Linked DNA regions of Arabidopsis thaliana. The protein of the gene in region 3 interacts with the protein of the main gene of each other region in a pairwise test. Each region holds a gene or a part of one and is shown on either strand. Other genes may lie near its edges.

What was found.
Region 1: the proteins of SUMO2 (region 3) and DME interact in a two-hybrid assay, tested with the Arabidopsis thaliana proteins (one study listed by BioGRID).
Region 2: the proteins of SUMO2 (region 3) and PKDM7D interact in a two-hybrid assay, tested with the Arabidopsis thaliana proteins (one study listed by BioGRID).
Region 4: the proteins of SUMO2 (region 3) and AT5G48655 interact in a two-hybrid assay, tested with the Arabidopsis thaliana proteins (one study listed by BioGRID).

The regions. Positions count from the first base shown.
Region 1 is NC_003076.8:1,307,539-1,312,175, reverse strand, and holds the start of DME (HhH-GPD base excision DNA repair family protein), read right to left. Parts: upstream 3,063-4,637; 5' UTR 2,940-3,062; exon of another isoform or gene 2,557-2,939; 5' UTR 2,391-2,556; coding exon 1,820-2,390; exon of another isoform or gene 1,709-1,819; coding exon 1-1,708. UniProt on the Arabidopsis thaliana protein: Transcriptional activator involved in gene imprinting. Catalyzes the release of 5-methylcytosine (5-meC) from DNA by a glycosylase/lyase mechanism.
Region 2 is NC_003070.9:2,734,845-2,742,893, forward strand, and holds the start of PKDM7D (Transcription factor jumonji (jmj) family protein / zinc finger (C5HC2 type) family protein), read left to right. Parts: upstream 1-1,991; 5' UTR 1,992-2,204; exon of another isoform or gene 2,205-2,423; 5' UTR 2,424-2,667; coding exon 2,668-3,021; intron 3,022-3,113; coding exon 3,114-3,185; intron 3,186-3,316; coding exon 3,317-3,394; intron 3,395-3,480; coding exon 3,481-4,008; intron 4,009-4,104; coding exon 4,105-4,332; intron 4,333-4,741; coding exon 4,742-4,903; intron 4,904-5,213; coding exon 5,214-5,582; intron 5,583-5,983; coding exon 5,984-7,250; intron 7,251-7,339; coding exon 7,340-7,443; intron 7,444-7,790; coding exon 7,791-7,988; intron 7,989-8,049. Other genes in the region: AT1G08610 (Pentatricopeptide repeat (PPR) superfamily protein), read right to left, coding at 1-623. UniProt on the Arabidopsis thaliana protein: Functions as a histone H3 'Lys-4' (H3K4me) demethylase involved in the negative regulation of gene expression. Active on H3K4me1, H3K4me2 and H3K4me3. Not active on mono-, di- and trimethylated H3K9, H3K27 and H3K36 in somatic cells.
Region 3 is NC_003076.8:22,383,060-22,386,863, forward strand, and holds SUMO2 (small ubiquitin-like modifier 2), read right to left. Parts: upstream 1,867-3,804; 5' UTR 1,714-1,866; coding exon 1,642-1,713; intron 1,132-1,641; coding exon 1,093-1,131; intron 1,020-1,092; coding exon 870-1,019; intron 778-869; coding exon 688-777; 3' UTR 501-687; downstream 1-500. Other genes in the region: AT5G55150 (F-box SKIP23-like protein (DUF295)), read right to left, coding at 31-333; SUMO3 (small ubiquitin-like modifier 3), read right to left, coding at 2,409-2,519, 2,611-2,760, 2,938-3,012. UniProt on the Arabidopsis thaliana protein: Ubiquitin-like protein which can be covalently attached to target lysines as a monomer. Does not seem to be involved in protein degradation and may function as an antagonist of ubiquitin in the degradation process.
Region 4 is NC_003076.8:19,729,838-19,734,713, reverse strand, and holds AT5G48655 (RING/U-box superfamily protein), read left to right. Parts: upstream 1-1,557; 5' UTR 1,558-1,836; exon of another isoform or gene 1,837-2,197; 5' UTR 2,198-2,227; coding exon 2,228-2,440; intron 2,441-2,542; coding exon 2,543-2,600; intron 2,601-2,713; coding exon 2,714-2,829; intron 2,830-2,914; coding exon 2,915-3,139; 3' UTR 3,140-3,167; exon of another isoform or gene 3,168-3,171; intron 3,172-3,272; 3' UTR 3,273-4,324; downstream 4,325-4,876. Other genes in the region: AT5G48657 (defense protein-like protein), read left to right, coding at 1-210, 300-695.

The DNA.
Region 1 (4,637 bases), about 21 Mb from region 3:
TGTGATTGAGCAATCTGTTGAGCTAAGTTTAGATCATGCTTTTCCGTCTGTCCCATTGCACGATGATACTGTCTCTTCGAGCCCCTGGCTTCCTCAAGTTTAGCCATAATTGGAGTTGGCAGAGAAGAGTTTTGAGGTAACGCTTTCTTGCACCCATTACCATTGGATATCTCATGAGAAAGTATGTACTTATTTCCTTGATGGATATCTTGCTGTAAAGAATCGTATGCAGGAGCCCTGCTTCTCTGGCATGTACCTGTAGTCCCATTCAAAATCCTGGAAACAGATTCCACATGTAGATATGTTGTAGGAACTTGTGACTGAGAATGAGGTCGAAGCCCAGGCGATGACATGCTGGTAGCTACCATCTGATTCAAGTGAGTAAAACCTTTTGGAGTTGCAGGTTGCTGGTCAATCAAAGGTACGCAAGGCTGCTGGCCTCTTATTAATGATCCAGGTTGCTGGTTTTTTATCAGTAGTCCATGTTGTTGCCCTCCGGTTGACATAACAAGTTGATGCATGTCTGTAGGTGATCCATATAGCTGATTTCCAGCAGGTAAACAAGTCTGGTGATTCAAAAATATAGGCCGCTTGTTTCCTTGGGGACCTCCTAGTTGCTGGTTTCCACTTACTAATGCAGGCCGTGGAGTTCCTATCAGATACATAGGTTGTTGATTACCCATGGCCAAGCAAGGCTGCTGGTTTCTTATGGTCATGCGAGGTTGCTGGTTACCAAATGGAAAGCCAATAAGTTGGTTTTTCATCTGAAGCCAAGCTTGTTGGTTTTCCATTGGGAACTGGGTGTTCTGGGTTGCCACTGGGAACTGGCATTGCTGGTTTCTAGTCAATAAATCAGGTTGTTGGTCTCTGGCCAGTTTCGCTCCTGTAGATAGTTTATCTGGCTGGTTTCCCATTGACACTTCAAGTGGCTGGTTCATAGCCCCCAATCCATTGGTCTTGTCTATTTGTGACACTGAATCCAGGAAACTACCATTAGTTCCACCAATGGCATCTCTGATCTCAGAAAACGAGTTTGCGCCACTACTGTTCTGGACAATTTCAGACTCAGAGTCACCTTGCCTCGCATCTCCAGGATTCTCCAAGTCAAAATTCAAAGCTTTTCTGCAACTTTTGAGTGTGACTTCAGGGCTTTTGTTGCTCATATCTCCAACATTGGCTGGCTTTTTAGTTGCTGATTCTTTCAAATTTTTCTTTTTGGCACTCCCGGTTTCTTTAGATTTCACTTTTTCCTGAGTTGCAGCTTTGCGTGGCTTCCTTTTAGGTTTGCCTTCCACGACCACTTTGGGAAGTTCTGCAGGTTTGCGTGGCTTTCTTTTAGGTTTGCCTTCCACGACCACCTTGGGCATGAACTTCCTTTTCCTTTTGGAGGGTTTCTGCTGAGGAGTTTTGTTAAGGTCGAACTCCAGAACATCTTGTCTGCTGCCATCATTTTGTTCAGTAGCTTCCGTCGCATTAACAGCAGACGAGTCCATAATGCTCTGCATACTTTTGTCAGATTTCGGCTCTGGGATTTCATGTCCAGTAGTTGTAACTATCTGTTCAAGGAATCCAGTCTTTTCACCTGTTCTGAACAGACTGGGCGTTGACGGTACATATTGAAACGAACTTTCACAGACTGACCCAACTGCTTCTCTTCTAATTGGTGAATTCAAATTGTAAAGAGGCTTGTTACACGCTGGAGGTCCATCTGTTCAAAACCATGACTTTCTTAAGATATTCTAATTCATGTTCTACTCTAAGTACTGCAAGAACGGAAGAAAGGGAAAAAAAAAAACTGAAAATAGATTTGATCACTCACATTGACGAACCTTGAATAAGCTATCCCCACCACTCAGCAAGCTTGTGAAGGAGAAGGGCATCTGATCAGGATTCAACAAGTCATCCAATTCAAACTCATTATAGCCAGCTTGAGAAGTGCCACTCTGGGTGAAAGGACCATTTACCATACCCACATCTGAAGTAAAATTTCCATTGACCGGCTCTACATTACCGGTGGTGTTTCTGATAACTGGTGCTAAAGGAGAAGTCACCTCACTCCTGCCCAAAAGATCTCTCTCACTATTACTCCAAGCTTGTGCATGTGATCCCGCTAAGCTATTGATCATCATACTTAAGTTGGTAACGCCCTGATGAGCACCATGATCAAAAACCCCATTATGATCCACACCAGTGTTGCAGAATCCCCTGTCTACAAATTCACCACCTGGAAACCCATTTAGATCCTGGTTTATCACTCTCTCATCTACCATCAGACTTGATCTAGGTTTTTTGGGTGTAAATGGAATCCAAGAACCCATGAACTCTTGTTGAGTTTGATTCTCCAAAGGAACTCGAAAATATCTATCCCCCGGATCAGCCCTCGAATTCATAACACACTTGATGAATCACTCCCCCTTCAAACCTTATCACTACCTCACCCCAAATAACACTCACCTAACTCTCCGAAAACTCTCTCCAAACACCAAAACAAAGCAACATGGACGAACACTCCTTTTTAATCTGACTTGGTTAGAGAAGGCGACATTAACTAAGAATCTGCACCATAAAATGCAATAAATGATTTTTTGTCAGATATTTTTCTCATCAACAAAACGAGAAACACATTGAATAGCGAAGAATTTTTTAGCTGGAAACGGTAAAAGAAGAGCGAATAAAGTAAGCAATGTTTATGGGGAAAGTGAAGATAAAAGCAAATCAGAGGTTTTTATTACGCAGAATCAAAATCAGGTGTTAATAGCTGAGATTTATGATCAGAAAACAGGAACATGTATTGATTAACATAAAAACCCAGTGATTCTTCTCGTGATCGGAAAATGTAACAGCTGGAAAATTTAGCAGAACAAATTCCAGATAAAAAAGGGAGAGAGAAAAAAAGGAAATAATATGTAAATAAACAGAAAATGGAGCTAAAAGCTCACCGATCTAAGCTTTCTGATTCTCAGGCGAGTCAATGCCGGAGAACACTGAGTCAGCTATGCCGTTAGAGATAGAGATAGAGAGAGAGTGTGGTGAGATGAAGAAGGAATAAAGTGAAATATCAGTTGGCGTTAGCAATATGGGCCTGAGGCCCAAATTATATTCACGAGGACGTTGTTGCTTAAGTGTATTTTGTTGTTAATTGTCATTAGTCCTATTAAAATGGTTTAGTTTGCAAGTTTTCAGATAAAGCAACAACGCTAAACCCAACTTTTGTTGGTTATAAGTTATAACTTATAAATGTTCATTAGAATCTTACTAAATTTAATGTTTTGGTCTTCTTCCTATATTTAGATTTTAAAGTATGTCAACACGATTTTTAAATGAAATTTAATGTTGCAAACTTGCTTCTTCATGCCAACATTTGACCGAATTACATAAAGGAAGTTCAATGCTAAAATCGTATTTTTGTAAAACGCTCATAATCACTATTTTCGCTAGAGTATCTAATAATTTCCATATATTCATGAAATTAATTTGAAATTTGACACAAAATTCTCGTATTTTTTTAACGTAAATAAAGGTATAACACCGAACTCGTATTTTACGACTATGTTCGTTTCTAATTGCACCAAACTGATAAAATTGTAGTCACCAATTAATTACTCCGTTAGTGTATTAAACTAATATTATTTGACCCATTTGGAATATAAACCCGACCCGAAAGTTAATGAAATTGTATAAACGACAAGTTTCCGCGTGGAAGCCATTAATGATTGTGACGGATCTCTTCCTACCCCCAATCAGTTTCAATTTAGTCCTTCATCTTTCGGGATAATCCTATTTTAAACCAATGAAAGGATTTCTGGTCCCATATAGTTTATTGGGTGCTGCTCCTTTATTTTTCTTGGTATTTTATTTGACTCCCATACATTTAGATTTATTCGCATTGACCCCCACAGCAAGAGACCATAAGTCACGTTACGAATCTTAAAAAAATTTCGTCTAAAGGTAGTCACGAAACATTATTATGAGATTCTTGCTATGTTTGAGAATTATATCCCTCGGAAGAAAATTCAGTTGACGATATATCAATAATCAATGTATTTTTGTTCTTAGTCAACATTGTAGTAATGAAAATACGATTTTTTAAAGTAATGTTTGTGACAATGAATAGCAAATTATATCATCATAATTACAGAAAATATACATATCTTTAAGGTTTTTCCTTGAAACAAGAAGAACTCTTGACATTATTATAGCTAACACGAGTCTGAAGAATTAATCTCAGTGAATTTATATTTTAAACAGTTACATATCTTTTGAGATTTTTGTACAAATGTTCATATACCAAAATAAAGAGATTAAGAATCTGTTGACTTATTCTTTCTTTTGATAATTATATCGGTTAACTTTTCTTACCATCGGTAAATTAATACTTTGATTGAGAATTTGAGATTAGATACAATTGGTCTACGTTTTGGAATCTAGTGACATATTTGGTGTATTAGGAGGTTTTTCAAATAAAGTGAGCGTTTCATAATCATGAGTATGTAGTTATCCCATACTCGTAAAATATTATGGCAAGAAGGAAAAAATAGCATCCTCCAACAAGTAACAATCCACTCAACACCTTTTTAGAAACTTCCATATAAATAATACTACATGTAGTATATATTGGAAATATCGCTTTCGCATTG
Region 2 (8,049 bases), on a different chromosome or scaffold from region 3:
TCAGGAGGGCTCCCACTCAAACTCATATCTTCTAAGAGGACCAAAGCAGTTCTTATATGCCCTTTCTTGCAAAGATTTCCGATGATCATGTTATAGGTAATAGTATCTGGAACCCCACCAGACATTACCATTACTCTCAAGATACACATTGCTTTATCCAGTTGATCAATTCTGGCTAGACCACGGACTAAGTTTGAGCAAGAAGGAAAATGAGGAACCTGATTATGTCGTGCCATCACCTCGACAAGTTTGCACGCATCTGTTAACTTCCCATTGCTGCACAGGTTATGAAGGATCTCATTGTTGGTCTCTTCGTCGTTCTCTGTAATTGGTCCATCAGATGATAAACCAAATTGCTTCATAGGTTTCACTCTGGCTCTCAAGTTAGTACCGACACCATAGTGATGGAACTCTGAGCTTCTCTCAGCATGATCATTTACATTGTCAATGCACACACTACTTAACAAGCCGTGACATCTAAAAAAAACATCCTTTTTCAGCCCAATTTCTTGCTTCCAATCTAAAGAAGAAAACTTTCTGCAAGATAAAGGATTCGCCTGCTTTTGAGACAGACTAGGAATATGCAAGAACTGAACCTCAAGTAGCAAATTCGACGAAGCCATTTCTCAGAATCCAGAAGCTATTTTAACAAAACAGAGATCTTTCCTTTTACAAAAGCTTATCAAACTCAATGAAGAAGAAGTTAGACCAATAATTATTTGCTGGTATGATGTTCAGTCTCTGCTGCTTTATCTCATAACCTATTCTTGAGTGAATGGAGAAACCAAACCTGTGAAAAGGAAAGGTACAAGTTATAGAGACAGAGAAGCAGACTGAAACAGTTTCCAACAAAAGAAAAGAAGCAGAAAACCTTCAAGTTGCGGTTAAGTTTGAGAAACCCTAACAAATCTGGAGAAATGATGAGTGTGAGAAACTCACTGTTCGTTGTTCGAAGCCGACGCGGGTTTTGAGATGATAAGTAGGGTTTATCCTAAATTTACAATGTGCACCCTATATGTCTCGACATGTTTCATTTATTCCCACAAACTTATGAAACATCTAACATTAACCTCCTCTGTTTTTATTCCCTTTGTTTTTGTGAATCGGTTTAATTATTTTGGGCCAATTCAGCTATCGGATTGGGCTTTTTCAAGTTTTGGGTTGAGTTACAACCAAATTAAAAATCAAACAGAGATCAATTTCTCCGCATAGAAAAATAACATGTTACATTACCATTCGAAAACAAGATGAATAGTCATTTATACACGCCTCTCTTACACATTATAATGTCTAAATAATTGCATTATCATATTCAAAATTTAGATATGTTGGTCAAAAACAGAATTAAGTATTATAAATTGTGTATACCAAATTAGTTGACGCTATCATTGCATATCATACTCACATACTACAATATTTATTACATGAACTAAGTGATTGTATTCCAGTGGCTATTTTCATTTAACTATAACAAAAAAATCGAATGCGATAAAACTACTTCGAAAATAATCGATGGCTCTTGGAATTTTTATAAAATCTAGTTCTTGAAATAAATAAAAATTTCTATGCAATATTTTTCGGTAAATTTTTGTTCTCTATTACAATAAAATTTTATTTTAAAGAAATGAAATTGTTATTTAGCGTATATTTGTAACCAAATTAGCAGGCGTAAATACAAATCCTTTAAATAACTCTGTTGTTGTGTGGATATGCGGTAATGTCCACCCGTGAATAAATGTTTACGTGTTATATGACCCAACAAAGTGAACCAATTATATTACTCCTCTCTAACGCACTTGTTTATTGCATTTTTATTTATTTGATGGTCGAAACAAAATAGTAAGAGTAGTTGTTGCATAGGAAATTGCATCTGCTTGCTTTTGAAGCGTTAATAACTTATAACCAAGCAAGACATATATCATACAGAGCAAAAAATTAGGCAAACCCAGAAAAAGCCACCACATGTTCCTCTTCTCATGATCTTAAAATTGAAAAAAAGAAGGTGATAAGTTTAATCTAATCTTGACCAGTGAAATAGCTTTTTGTTGCTTGTTGTTTTTGTTCATTCTTCACAGATTTAATTGTCACATACCCAACGTATATGGATGGACCTGTAGATTTAATTCCAGTTTTACCCTTTTCTTCTTCCTTTCATCTGATTTTGTTTGCTGCTTTTTTTTTGTTTTCTGGGGAATATGGAAAAGGTTAGGTTTCATATTTGGACCTTTTTTTTTGGTGTTGAATTTTTCTTCTTAATTTTTATGCAAACATGGAAAAGGACATGCGATGATAATCCTGAATCTACTAGTGCTTAGATCTGATGAATACTGGATTATTAAAAAAAAATATTACTAAAAATTTCAATGATCTAGGGTTTCTTCAGATCTTTAAATTTGTTGCTGATTTTACTCGATTTCTCTTAGTCTGGGTGCAGTTGATGGAGCTCCAGCTATTTTGACCATCCAATTTCACCAGAAACCCTAAATCACAAGACTATGTAAGCATTTTCCTTATGGCTCTTCTTCCTGATTTTTGATTCAGCTAATTTGGTGATGAACCGTTTATATATATCTGTAATCGTACTTTACCCTGAAAATATGTACCTACCATATGTGTCATGTGTATTTTTATTATTTTATAAATGGTTGTGATATTATTGAGACATGAATGAATGATGCTTCAATTGTATGTAGTGTTGGCACAGAAGTAATGGGGACAGAGCTAATGAGAATCTGTGTGAAAGAAGATAGTGATGATTTGCCATCTGTTCCTCCTGGTTTTGAATCATATGCAACTTTTACCTTAAAAAGAGTAGTCCCTGCTACTACTTCTGATAAAGCCAAGACTCCTGCAATTGAAAGTGTTTCTGCAACCGAACAAGCTAAGATGGAAGTTGAATCTGATGAAGCCAAAGCTGCTCGGGCTCTACGCCGTAGACCTTGGATTAATCATAGCGGATGTGATGATGATGGTGATTGTGCTGCAAACAATGACAATGCTGCATCTCAAAATCCTGATCAAGTTCGTTCTTTGTTTTGCTTTTTATTCCTGGCAACTTGTGTTTCAACTTTCCATCTCTTTGTTTGCCTTGCTTATGCATGGTGTTGTTACAGAATTGTGATGTGAAGCCAGCTCTTCCAAAGGGTGTGGTCAGGGGATGTGAAGAATGTAAAGATTGTCAGAAGGTTAATCTCAGTTAATGCTTGTTTCAGAAATAAACTTATAAACGTCTTTCGCTTGAGCATTAGATGTTTGATCTTTTCTTCTTATTTACGATTTTCATAACCCTCTAACGTTATATTCACAAGTTTGGCAGGTAACTGCGAGATGGCATCCAGATGAAGCTCGTAGGCCTGACCTTGAGGACGCCCCTGTATTCTACCCGAGCGAAGAGGTCTTGTTCATATTCTATACTTCCAAACCCTTTTAACTGAATTTCTAGCTCCATATTTCTAACATAAACTGCAAACCTGTTTCTAGGAGTTTGAAGACACTTTAAATTATATCGCTAAAATAAGACCGGAGGCTGAAAAGTATGGAATCTGTCGCATTGTTCCTCCTCCTTCCTGGAAACCGCCGTGCCCACTGAAAGAAAAGCAAGTATGGGAGGGTTCTAAATTTACAACACGTGTCCAAAGAGTTGATAAACTTCAGAATCGGAGTTCAATGAAGAAGATTTCAAAGCTTCCTAATCAAATGAGAAAGAAGAAAAGAAAGTGCATGAAAATGGGAATGGATTCTGTCACTAATGGTATGGGCGATCCCTGTTCTGCAAGCACTGGAATGAATGAACTTGAGACGTTTGGGTTTGAACCTGGTCCAGGGTTCACACTAAAAGACTTCCAAAAATATGCTGATGAGTTCAAGGCTCAGTACTTTAAAAAGAGTGAAACTTCTACAGACGATAAATGTAAAGTTGATAATTCAATAGACTGCTGGGAGCCAGCACTTGAGGATGTTGAAGGTGAATATTGGCGGATAGTAGATAAAGCAACTGAAGAGATAGAGGTAAAGTTTTGTCCCCTGTTGTTCTTTTTATTTGGGGGTTTATGGTCTATTAGGACCCCTGTATCTCCTAACTACCACAATGATTTTTCAATATAGGTGCTATATGGTGCTGACCTTGAAACTGGGGTATTTGGTAGCGGATTCCCCAAGATATCATCAAGTCACAATGCTTCTTCTTCAGAAGATAAATATGCAAAATCAGGCTGGAACTTAAATAACTTTCCAAGGCTTCCGGGATCCCTCCTTAAGTACGAGGGCAGTGATATTTCCGGTGTCCTTGTGCCGTGGCTGTATATTGGGATGTGCTTTTCTTCTTTCTGCTGGGTAAGATTGATCTCTGTGAATTGCATAATTTATTTTGCAGGTTAAAGCATGTACTTAGTTGGGATCTCTTCCTTTTACTGAAATCAAGCGTAGCCTCATACAAAAACTTACAACTACAACCGGATGTGCTTTGTTTTTTGTATACCTATTCACAAATAGTAGATAAATGTGATTAAATTTCTGTGCTACATATTTACAATGATAATTTTTCCATTATTCCTAAAGCTACGCTAGGATTATTATTGATTCAATTTCCCACAAAAGTATTAGTTAGTGTCTTCATATTATACAGTTTTCTTACACCAGTGGATGCAATTTTCATTACTTCACATCTTATTTCGTTTTATATTTTCCACTTCTGACATTCCTTTTGTTCTGCTTTTTTTTTGTTTTTGTTTACCTGAAATAGCATGTTGAAGATCACCACTTGTATTCGTTGAATTATATGCACTGGGGTGCACCGAAATTGTGGTATGGTGTTGGGGGGAAGGATGCTGTTAAACTCGAGGAGGCAATGAGGAAGCATTTGCCTGACCTTTTTGAAGAACAGCCTGACTTACTTCATAAGCTAGTAAGTATTGGATATTTGATGAACTAAAGCATCGCTTTGCTTCTCTATAATCAATGATCAATAGAATCTTGAAAAGTAGAAAAGTGTTCAATCACGATGATGTTCTTATTTCACTAATATGTTAATGTTAGCATATAATAGAATATTACCATATCTGTGTTTCCATTTTTGTAGTTAATCACCCTGTAGGAATTTCTACAGACCCGTTTTATGTCCTCTATTGACTTGCACAGTTGCACCTGGTTTAAATACATTTGTTGCAGATTATTGTTTCGGTATAAAACAAATCCTTTGATGCTCTTTCGTGTAGGTTACACAACTCTCCCCGTCAAAACTGAAAACCGCAGGAGTACCTGTGCACCGTTGCGTCCAGCATGCTGGAGAGTTTGTCTTGACTTTTCCTCGGGCATATCATGCTGGATTTAATTCTGGTTTCAACTGTGCTGAAGCTGTGAATGTAGCACCCGTTGACTGGTTACCTCATGGGCAGATTGCCATAGAGTTATACTGTCAACAGGGTAGAAAAACGTCCATCTCGCATGATAAATTGTTGCTTGGGGCAGCAAGGGAAGTAGTGAAAGCCGACTGGGAGCTGAACTTACTAAGGAAAAATACTGTAGATAACTTAAGGTGGAAAGCATTCAGTGCGAAGGATGGAATTTTGGCAAAAACATTAAAGGTAAAGATTAGATATTCTTACTCTTGATTCTTGAAGTTTAGATGCCTATAAGTGTGAATGATTGGAAAATCCTGAACTCATGAATAACTTGAGAGGTATCTTTGCAAACTGGTACCACGGTGGTATCCGTTGTAAACTGGTAGCATGAGGTTGTAATTGATATGGAACTTGAAATTCTCTTAAGTTGAGGGGTATTGCATATCACACGAATCTACAGCTAACTAACAAGGGAAGAACGGAAGATTACTACACCACCTCTTACTAGTTAAAACAAATGATTAGTTCAGGAGGTGTTCATCTTCTGCCTGGGTCTAACTGTACAAATAAATCTCGTAGGTTTAAGAGGATCATTCTTTATTGTCAATATGGTGATTAATGGACTTGTCATGTTTTTTATTTAGGCACGCATTGACATGGAACGTACGAGAAGAGAATTTCTGTGCAACTCTTCACTTGCATTGAAAATGCACAGTAATTTCGATGCTACCAACGAGAGAGAGTGCTGTATATGCTTCTTTGATTTGCACCTGTCTGCTGCTGGCTGTCGTTGTTCCCCGGAGAAGTATTCATGTTTGACTCATGTGAAGGAGTTGTGTTCATGTCCATGGGTTACTAAATATTTTCTATTTCGCTATGATATCGATGAACTGAATGTTCTTGTTGAGGCAGTGGAAGGAAAACTGAGTTCTGTATATAGATGGGCGCGTCAAGATTTAGGATTGGCATTAAGTACAGACGTCTCAGGAAGCAAGATGGAGATAGATGAAGAAGGAAAAGTCCACAAGGACCCGACTCCACAAACAACTGCACTTTCAGGGAAGGATTTGCAGTTGAAAGTAACATCGAAAGAAGTAAGTAAAGAGTTAGAAAAGACTAGTAAATTATCTCATGTTAATTTACTTCTGAAAGAAAAGGAGGAGCAAATAACGTCAAGTCACTGTATGAAGCCTGTCAAAGAAGAAACTGTTTGTGATTCTTCTGATCCAAACGTTTCAGCTTGCCAACCATCTGAAGGAGGCATAATCTGTATGACAGCTGTTAAGTCCGCAAGTGGTAAAAAGAATTCACAGAGTCTACCCAATGATGTGATACTCCTCAGCGATGATGAGTATGACATACCTAGGAAACGAGGTTCTGTGAGAAGAGATGCAATTTCTTCTGGCAAGAAATTAGAAATACGAGAGAGACCGACCCACGTTTTGGCGTTAGAAGCTTCTGCCAAAATTGCTGCTCCAATTTGCCAAAGGGAAGGAGATTCGCTGCGTGATACACGAAACACTATATCATTGCCTACTAATGACCAAAAAACAATGAGAAGGGATGTACCGAGTTCTACTTCGCACGCGGAAGTTAATGCGGAGGCTACTGGGCTTACTCAAGATATATGTAACAGAATGGCAACTAACAGCCACGGTGGTGGAAAACCTACTAGTTGTAAATCCAAAAACTCTGGAGGTTTGGCTATAGTGGATGTTGTGGATGGGACAAGAAGTAGTTCAGGTACACCGTCTTGTTCGCAAAATAATAGTCCGGATAGGTTCATCCGCCAAAAGGGTCCCCGCATTGCAAAGGTCGTGAGGAGAATCAATTGCAATGTAGAGCCTTTAAGTTATGGATGTGTGCTGTCTGGAAAATCATGGTGCAGCCGGCGAGCAATTTTTCCTAAAGGTGACATGTGGTCAAGTATTTTTGCTACTTGAGAACATTAACAGTTATACATATTGCAAGTGCTTATTGTCTATTCTTCTTTGGTGCAGGATTTCGTAGCCGGGTTAAGTACATAAACATTTTGGATCCAACAAATATGTGCTTCTACATTTCAGAAATTCTGGATGCTGGACGCAACAGTCCATTGTTCATGGTTAGTTGGTAGATAGATGCTGATCTAATTTAACTAACCTTAAAAATATGTCTGAGTAGTGTTTCATTTTCAAATTAAATATTGCCATATGAATAAATCCGATGACATGAATCTGAACCGGAAATATGATCCATTATTTGGCTGTCAAAGACGTAGAGTCCCATCATGCTAACATAAACTTTAAAAGTTTTGAACTGAGTATGAAACCGGAATTAACCTATTAATCAACCTTTAAAATCTTGTGTGTGTGTGTAAAAAAAGGTTGTTTTGTCTTGATTCTATTGGTCATTGTGCAGTTCCAAAAATCTTGCCCATCAACAAACTGTGTGGTATGTTCTTTTTGTCAGGTTTACTTGGAGAGTAATCCCAGTGAGGTGTTCGTTCATATGTCGCCTACAAGATGCTGGGAGATGGTAAGAGAGAGAGTAAATCAAGAGATAACTAAGCAGCACAAAGCTGGAAAATCAGATCTTCCTCCTTTGCAACCCTCTGGGAGTCCCGACGGTTTTGAAATGTTTGGATATTCGTCACCCGCAATCGTACAGGTAAATCTTTACAAGTTTTGTATTAGGCTCAGATTTTTATGCTTATTTCTAATTATATATA
Region 3 (3,804 bases):
ATGAACCTCAAACGGGAAAGAAGCACTGACCGTCAACAAAAACCCTAGTGTACTGCCACAAACCCACGCTTGTTGGTTCCCTGAGAAACCCAACTTTCCCGGAGACAAAACTCTAAACTGGTCGGAGAATCGGATTTCTTCATTGGAAGAGAGATGGGAAATAAACAGAAAAGGAGAAAACGTCCGGCTGTAGTATACGGCCGAAGAAGAATCCTTCCAAGAAGAACAGACCGTGGCACAGTTTAGAATGTCTCTGGCGTCGTTTAGGTTGTGGAATACAGTGTTGAGAAGCTCCGGAAGAAACTCTGACCACGACGAAGAAGGTAGAGCCATTATTTACGAGGGTACAGAGAAACCGGAGCTTATGGAAAAAAAAGAAGAGAACTGTTCTTATATAGCCAGTAGAAACTTGGGATCCAAGGAACCGTGGGGAGCAAGTTTGACTAATTACCATACTCGGCAACTTGTGCGTTTACTTTAAGCTAAAGCCAATCGAAAGATTCCAAAATCCATAAACAAGCCCATTAATATTTTAAGATCCAATAAGTTTCATGATTCACATAGACTTTCACCAGTAAGTAGAAACTGGTCAAAGTAAAACAAAGCCTGCCAAATTTAATCTAAAGCCGATTCACTAAATCCATTAATATCACACAATCTTATGGAAAACCATTAAAATAACCGCCACTAAAAGCAGAAGAGCTTCAGGCCATTTTTAGCACCACCACCAGTCTGATGAAGCATTGCATCGATCTCATCTCCATCTTCCATTTCAAGCTGTAAAATTGAAGATTCTCGGTTAAGGAAATCATACAACTTTGAAAAACGGAAAACAGTAAAAGAGAATGGGGTACAGAGAGTGATGTTACCTCATCTGGAGTCTGCTCGGCACGAAGACGACGACCATCAAACAAGAAAGCAATTGAGTTGAAATCCACAGACTGACGGTCACAGTAAGCATTCATCAGTTTTTTGAGCTGAGTGCTTCTCTTGATCCTAAAGAAGACTTCATTACCATCCTACACAAGAAAAATTACCAATGATTGTTACTTCAAGAAGAGTATTATATACGATTTTCTCAATACCAAAAACTGTATCTATAACCAACCAAGTACCAACAACGAAAAATGCCTACCAATGGGTACAGAAACATAAGCAAAACAAATCATAGCAACGAAAAGCTTTCATGAAACAAATGCTCCATACTCCAAAAGCATAACTACAATAGGCTATAGTGAGAGTTCAAGGTTATAAATTGTTAGCTTAGTCACAACTCACAACATTACAACAATTTCTTCGAAGATAATCACTGTCTCCACCAATACACACCCTCACACATACAAGAGTAGTAATGTTTTGTTTGCTACAATTATGAGTCAAAACATAATTCACAATTCTCAGATAACTTTTGTTTGCTTCAAATTTAAGCCAATTAAAAGTCACGCTTACACAATAATCACTACCTCATAGACAAGCTAACCAGAATAGAAATTGGGAATAACGCAGACAAACTCAAAACCCTAGAATTGAAGCAATCAGAAGCTATAAAGATCCTAATCACACTCAAAACTTTAACCAGACAACGAATCGTTACACAATGCAAGAAATAGAAGTCGAGAGAGTGAGTGAGAAATAGAAAACCTGTCCCTTGACTTTGAGATTGATGTGAGCTCCTTGGTCAGGCTTCTTGTCTTCTTCCGGAGTAGCAGACATCTTACTTTATTATCAGATTATACGGTCGGCGATTGGAAACAAGAACTTCGATCTGCGATATAAGCGAAGCCCTAAGAGAGATTCGCGGGATTGCAGAACTTGAGGGTTTGAGGGAGAGAGAGAGACTCGGCAGAGAATAAAAAAGACTGAAACCACTATCTTTGGTCGCATCGGATTCTTGTTTATCTAACGGTTCATAATCATTGATCTATATCATTCGACGGCTGTGAGTGAGTATAATCTCTAACTTAAAATGATGTCGTTTTAGCATTCTTAATGGGCTCAAATGGGCTGGTTACTTCTGTGTCTACCCAAGAATTTTAAAATGTGAAAATCTCAGCTTTCGAGTAGATTTGTTTGAGTTGGGAAAAGTGAAGATGTTCAAAGTGAACCGTTTGATTTTGATCAAACCAGTAAAGATTTCAATTGTTTAATATGGTTTTGTTGTGTGACCTTTTACAATTAGCCAACTTGAGTTTTAGAGGTTTTGATGAGTTGTTTATTCACGGTTGTAAAATTAACAAAGTACAAAGATTCTAAAAATCCGTAACCAGATACCATTAATATCATAATTCATAAGATCCAATCACTCATGAGTCATTTACACACACGATAACCGACCATGATTTAAACTTCAAGTAATTTTGCTTGAAGAAAGTAGTCAAATATCACAAAGCCAGCCAAATTATTCCTAATTAAAGCCCATTATGATCGAAAAGCATATAAGACCACTGACGCTGATTTGCTCGTAGACCACCACTCATCGCCCGGCACGCATCTATCACATCTCCATCTTCCATATCAAGCTTTAAAATTGGAGAATCTTGGTTTAGTAAATGATACACTTTTGACAAACATATAAATTGTAAAAGGGAAATGAAAAAGAGAGTGATTTGCCTCATCTGGAGTCTCCAGGCCACCTATACGAGCTCCATTAAAAATGAAAGCGAATGCGTCTAATTTCAAACCTCGGCGGTCGCAGTAAACATACATGAGCTTTTTAAGTGGAGCGCTTTTTTTGTTCTTAAATAAGACTTCGTCTCCATCCTTAGTATCACCAATCAAGAAAAAAGATTTTAATCACTCTATACTTTAGATCATCACAGTTTGGAAAAGAGTATCATCAAAGTTTTCATATCAAGAAACTGTATATATAGTATTATCAACCAAGCAGCAACGACAGAAAATTTCAAGGAGATTAAAGAGGGAACACAGTGAAAAAACCTGGCTCTTGACCTTGAGAATGACATGAGCTTCTTGTTCTTGGTCGATGGGCTTGTCATCTTGAGGGTTAGACATCTTTCCTTTTATCAGATTTTATGAAACAAAAACTCCAGTCTGTGAGAAATACGAAGGCCTGATAGAGAGATTCACAATACAGTATTGCAAAATAAGGGGTTGACTTTTGAGAAAGAGAGACTTGTCAAAAAAGTGACTGAAACCAGTTCTTGATCGCACTCACTTTTGATCTACAGATTCTTGTGGTGATATATCGAACGGCTCATAATCATTGTAGCTTATCATCCGACGGCTAGGAGAGCGTGGAATTCGTACATGAAAACACTGCCGTTTAATCAAGCATTCGTAATGGGCTATTGGGCTGGTTTAAGATCAAATATGCTCATATGTGGGCTTAATTACTTCTACACAGTATATAAAGTTGGAACCCATTTTCGTGAACCGACCAAATAGTTTTTAGAAAATTTATAAATCATATTTAAAAATAAAATCTAATTACCACGGTAATCTAATAATTTCAAAAAAAATACAACAGTTAGAAACTTTTAAAAATCTTAGCAAACATAACTTTTGTGGTATTTTAAAAAGAAACTCAAAATTATGATATTATTTGACAAAGTTTAGGGCAAGCTCTCTTTATAAAATTTATATATTTCTTGATGTTCTAAACTTCTAATGCATGCATGGTTATTATTTAATATTAAAAAATAATGTACGTCGACCGTCATAGTGTGTAAATGGTTAGTCTATGTTTCGTGACGACTTCTATTTCGGCCCGACATAATATATTTCCAGTTTTTAATTTGATAAACTAATAGGCATTGTATCGTAACGTAAAGATCAGGGACAATG
Region 4 (4,876 bases), 2.7 Mb from region 3:
GACGAAACCGAATTCAGACCGTCTCCTGCACACAATGAAAGAAACAACAGAGTTAGATCAGTTCCTCCCACACCAGAAACATACAACCATCAAACATATGGTGGAGGTGGCAGATCAATGGGAAATCCAACAGAAATAAATAGACGGCAATCACGTGATCATGTCCCGGCGCGGCCAATACGCAATCTTAGAGGGCAAAGTAGTGAAAGGGTATGCATAACTTTACCATTTTATAGTACAAAATATGTGTCACAACTCATAAATATATATCGCTAAGTAAGTGTATTTTTCTCAATTAGGTGGCGACTATTCCTCCATTTCCTGGAACGGGTTCTAACATGGAAAATCAGAGTTACACACTTATCTTTGACAAAGTGAAAGAAGATAGGAACCAAGCGAGATCTTACAATGGAACCGATCATAGCACCCCGACTCGACCCATCATCGACCAACATCATCAACCATTACCTTCTAGTCCCAAGGTAGATAACCAAAATATCATTTCCCTTTCTTTCATAAATCCTCTTTTTTTACAATTGACGTTGTTATGTGTAGGGTTGCTGTTTTCCTCCATGGAGCCGAAAGGGAAGCTAATGAAGATGATCATTTCCCTTTTTTACATAATCCTCTTTTTTTTTATTTGCTTCTGCTTGATTTTTTTTAATAATATCTTTGTTATTCTTATGGAGATGTAAGGAGTAGTTTTTGCTAAAACATTATGCAACTTCTGTTACTCTATTTGCGTTTTTTTGAACAATACTCAGATTCATTTATAGGGGTGAATCCTTTTATTCACCTCCTATTATAATAAACAAAAATTAAATTTACTTAATTATAATATACAAACCTTAACTATTCTTTTATAAACCCAAGACGATATTTAATTTCGTTTAGTTACAAAAAATCTAAACTCTAATCTCTTTTTGTAAACCTAAACCGACACTTAACATCGTTTAATTATAAAATATAAATCCTAACCGTTAATTTTAAATCCAAACCGAGTTTTAACCTCGTTTAAGTGTAAAATCAGAATCCGTTTATAACCCTAAACCGAAATTTAACTTCGTTTAATTATAAAATCTAAACTCTAACCCTCTTTTATAAACGTAAAAAGCCAAACCGACATATAATTTCGTTTGGTGACATGTTATATTTTATAATTATTATTATTTTATCAGATAAAAAATTCTGATTGGTTAGAAAAGATGAGGTAAATAAAAAGATTCACCTCTACATGTGAATTGTGAATCCAAATATTTATCAGAAAATCAAACGTTACGATTAAAATGACATTTCGAACATTCATGTATTTTATTTCAAATTTGAAAATTTGCGTTTTTTCGACATTTTTTTAAAATGCGGTGGATAGATTTACAAAATTAAAAAGTTGAAGAATTTCTTAGCAATATTTATATGTTTTTTATTTACCTGTACGAGTGTTTGAAAATCCAAACAAATGGGCTGAACAAAGTTTTATAAATTGTTATCGTCATTGCTAACGTAAAACCCAATGGGCTATTTAAACATCTCAAACGGGTCCATTTTAGAAATTTTGCTTTTTCCTAGGAAACAACACTGTAAACCACGAGGAAGCTACATTACGATTTCGACACGTGTCACAATCGCACCGACCGCGTCGCTTTTTATTACGAACTCAAAAAACTCTCACCGTTTCTCACCACCTTCGTGTTTCTCTCTCTATTACAGAAAAAAAGATTCAAAAACCCTAGATTTCACAAAATCGATTGGCTGTCAAATTTCTCTCCGGCGATTTTCCTCGAGTGAAATTCGGCTCAAGGTGATTATAGCGATCATCGAATCAAATTGATTGAAGAGGTTCTTCTCTATCAAAACCTAATCTAATTCATTTCTCTTGTTGTTTGATTAAAAACGATCATTCTCGATTTTAGGATCGGATTTGTTAATTTGATCGTCTCGTTACTGTCAATTGAGTTTAATTTCGTAAAGTCGATGAATTTCTGGGAGATTGATTCTTTTCCCTTTTTGCTGTGAAATTGTGTTCTTTTGAAAAATTCTGTCTAAAGTTTGGATTTTTTTTTTCTGTAAGTATATGTGAAACTATACATTTTGAGATTATTCACGGAAATTATATTATCTTGCTTGCAATGATTTGAGTTTGTATATAAGACTTTGAGGAGTAAATTAGATTGTTTTATTGTTTGGTTGAAACTTACAGGTACAAAGGTTAGTTACTTTGAGCTGAAAGATGAACACGTCAGAGGTGAGAGTACCTCGAGGAAATCGACGGAGGAAAGCTGTGATTGATCTGAATGCGGTACCTGTTGATCAAGAAGGGACCTCTGCTTCTGTTAGAACTCTTACGGTGCCTATTACACCGTCTCAGCCTGCTCCTACGATGATTGATGTCGATGCTATTGAGGATGATGTTATTGAATCATCCGCTAGTGCTTTTGCTGAAGTATGTTTGATTTCTGTTATCTTTTAGTTTCTCATTTTTGCAGTGATGGATAGGATTTGTTTGTGTAGTAGGTTCACTGATTTTGTTTTATTTTGATACCAGGCTAAAAGCAAATCAAGAAATGCACGTCGGAGACCTTTGATGGTTGATGTAGAGTCAGGTCAGTTTTTATCTATTGTGAAAAGAAATTTTACTCTTCTGGTTCAATGTCATGTCTCAAGTAGTAGGGAGAGACAGAGAGTTTGATGGATGGATTTTACTTTGTGTTTGCAGGAGGTACGACTAGATTCCCTGCCAACATAAGCAACAAACGCAGAAGGATTCCTTCTAGTGAATCTGTCATCGACTGTGAGCATGCCTCTGTAAATGATGAAGTCAACATGTCTTCGGTAAGAGAGATGTGAATTTCTGGAATCATGTACTGTGCAGTTATGCGATTTAGTCTAAGCTCACAATTTCTTTTATCTTGTGTAGAGAGTGTCTAGATCAAAGGCTCCAGCTCCTCCACCAGAAGAGCCAAAGTTTACATGTCCAATCTGCATGTGTCCCTTTACGGAGGAGATGTCAACCAAGTGCGGTCACATCTTCTGCAAGGGATGTATAAAGATGGCAATATCTCGCCAGGGCAAATGCCCTACTTGTAGGAAAAAGGTTACTGCAAAAGAGCTGATTCGAGTTTTCCTTCCAACCACTAGATGAGTGGTCCGGCAACATCACCAGCCACCCTGTAGGTCAAACAATGATTATATTATCATCCACGTTTGTAGAGATTTACTAGATTTGAATTGTATACTTAATTAACTAAACTGGAATTTGGTTTCCATTCTCACAGGTCTAATGGTTTATCAGACTATCCTCCTATTCACTTTGGAACATTGAAGGGACTTCGTTGACTTGGTATTTTTGAATATTTTGCTTTGTTGGAAGAGAAATATTCAGTGATCAAGAAGCCAGAAGGCCCTATCATTCGATGGATATCATTGGTAATAACTCTTTGTTTTTAGTTGTTGTTCTATGTAATTTAGGTCTCTGCAAACCTCTCAGTCGATACTCTTCTCTCTTGATAGATGATAAGATATATGGAAAAAAAAATTAATATTGAATCTTTACTAAAATTCTACATCTTGATCATGTCGTGTATGCCAGTTCTCATCTCACATTGCTGATAAATGCGTAAAGTATTTATGTATGTCAGTATGAGCAAATAGTAGGAATTATAAGGGAAATTTATTGTGAAAAAAAAAAATAAAAAAAAAATAAGGGAAATTTATTAGAACTCCATGCACTGGGTCTAGAGTACAATGGTAGCAGAAGATAGATTGCAGAAGCTAATAGAATCGGTTTTGAATCGATGCTCTATTGCTCTGCCTTGTGGTTATTCACTCCTTAAGGTCACATTTTGCTAGCATGCATCGTCACCTAGTCATGGAAACTTGGTGGATGCAGCAACATTGGCATCACCTGTAGTCTGAGATCCGGGCACGGGGTTCTGTTTGTTGAGGCCAGCTTTGGGAGGAAAATAACCAAACCGTCTTTTATGAAAGGGCCAGCCATAATGTGGAAGAGGAAACCAACCCCAGAGTTGCTGGTTATTGGTGATAACCTCACTTTGCTCCTCAGGTGCATACCTCCCTTCAGCGCCTGATAGTAGAAGTGCCAGAAGGAGCTTGGCTTTCGTGTTATTCTTCTCCATTGTGATTTGTATATGGTAGTCTACTTTGATTTCTCGTTTTGCTGGGTGGTTATACTGAGAAGTAAGAACTGGATACTATAGGCCAAGCTGGTGATATGGTGGTTTTTTAGATGCCTTCTTTGTGAGGGATATTGAATGGTGTATAGATTATAGTTTTTGATCCTTTTGGAATGTTAGTCCACAGTTTTATTAACTGTTGTGTGATTAAGATCTTTCTAGTGGTAGATGCAATTCCCTGAACTCCATTGATAACAAACAGACCAAGAACACCAACCTCTTGAGCCTTGAATCTTGTAGTCATGGAGTGTGATTGGTATAGCAATGTATTGTTGAACATTAGCTTAGTTTGTTTTCTCTACCAACTGGTGAGTCGCGACATCTTAAATATCAAGAAGATAGAAATCGCACCTTGCTATTCCTATGTGTAGCCTCTGAGATTGTTGGCCTTAACGACTAGGTTTTGGTAACGACTCAAATTACTTGTCTTAGTTATATCTTTTCCATCTGATCCAACAGTCCTGAGTAACCGTTAAGCGGTCACTTAACTTTCCCAAGAAACCTAAACCACCATCAAGCCAAAGACTATCTCAGTCAACTAAACTCGACTAAGTGTCGGTAAACTTATTTGGCTAGTTGAGCTATATAGTTTAGTCGAAATATCTCAGTTTTTCCAGCTCATGTCATCTCGTCAATGCACTTTTTCTCAATACTGGGTAAAAAAGTAGCTCATGCTGCTGCATCCG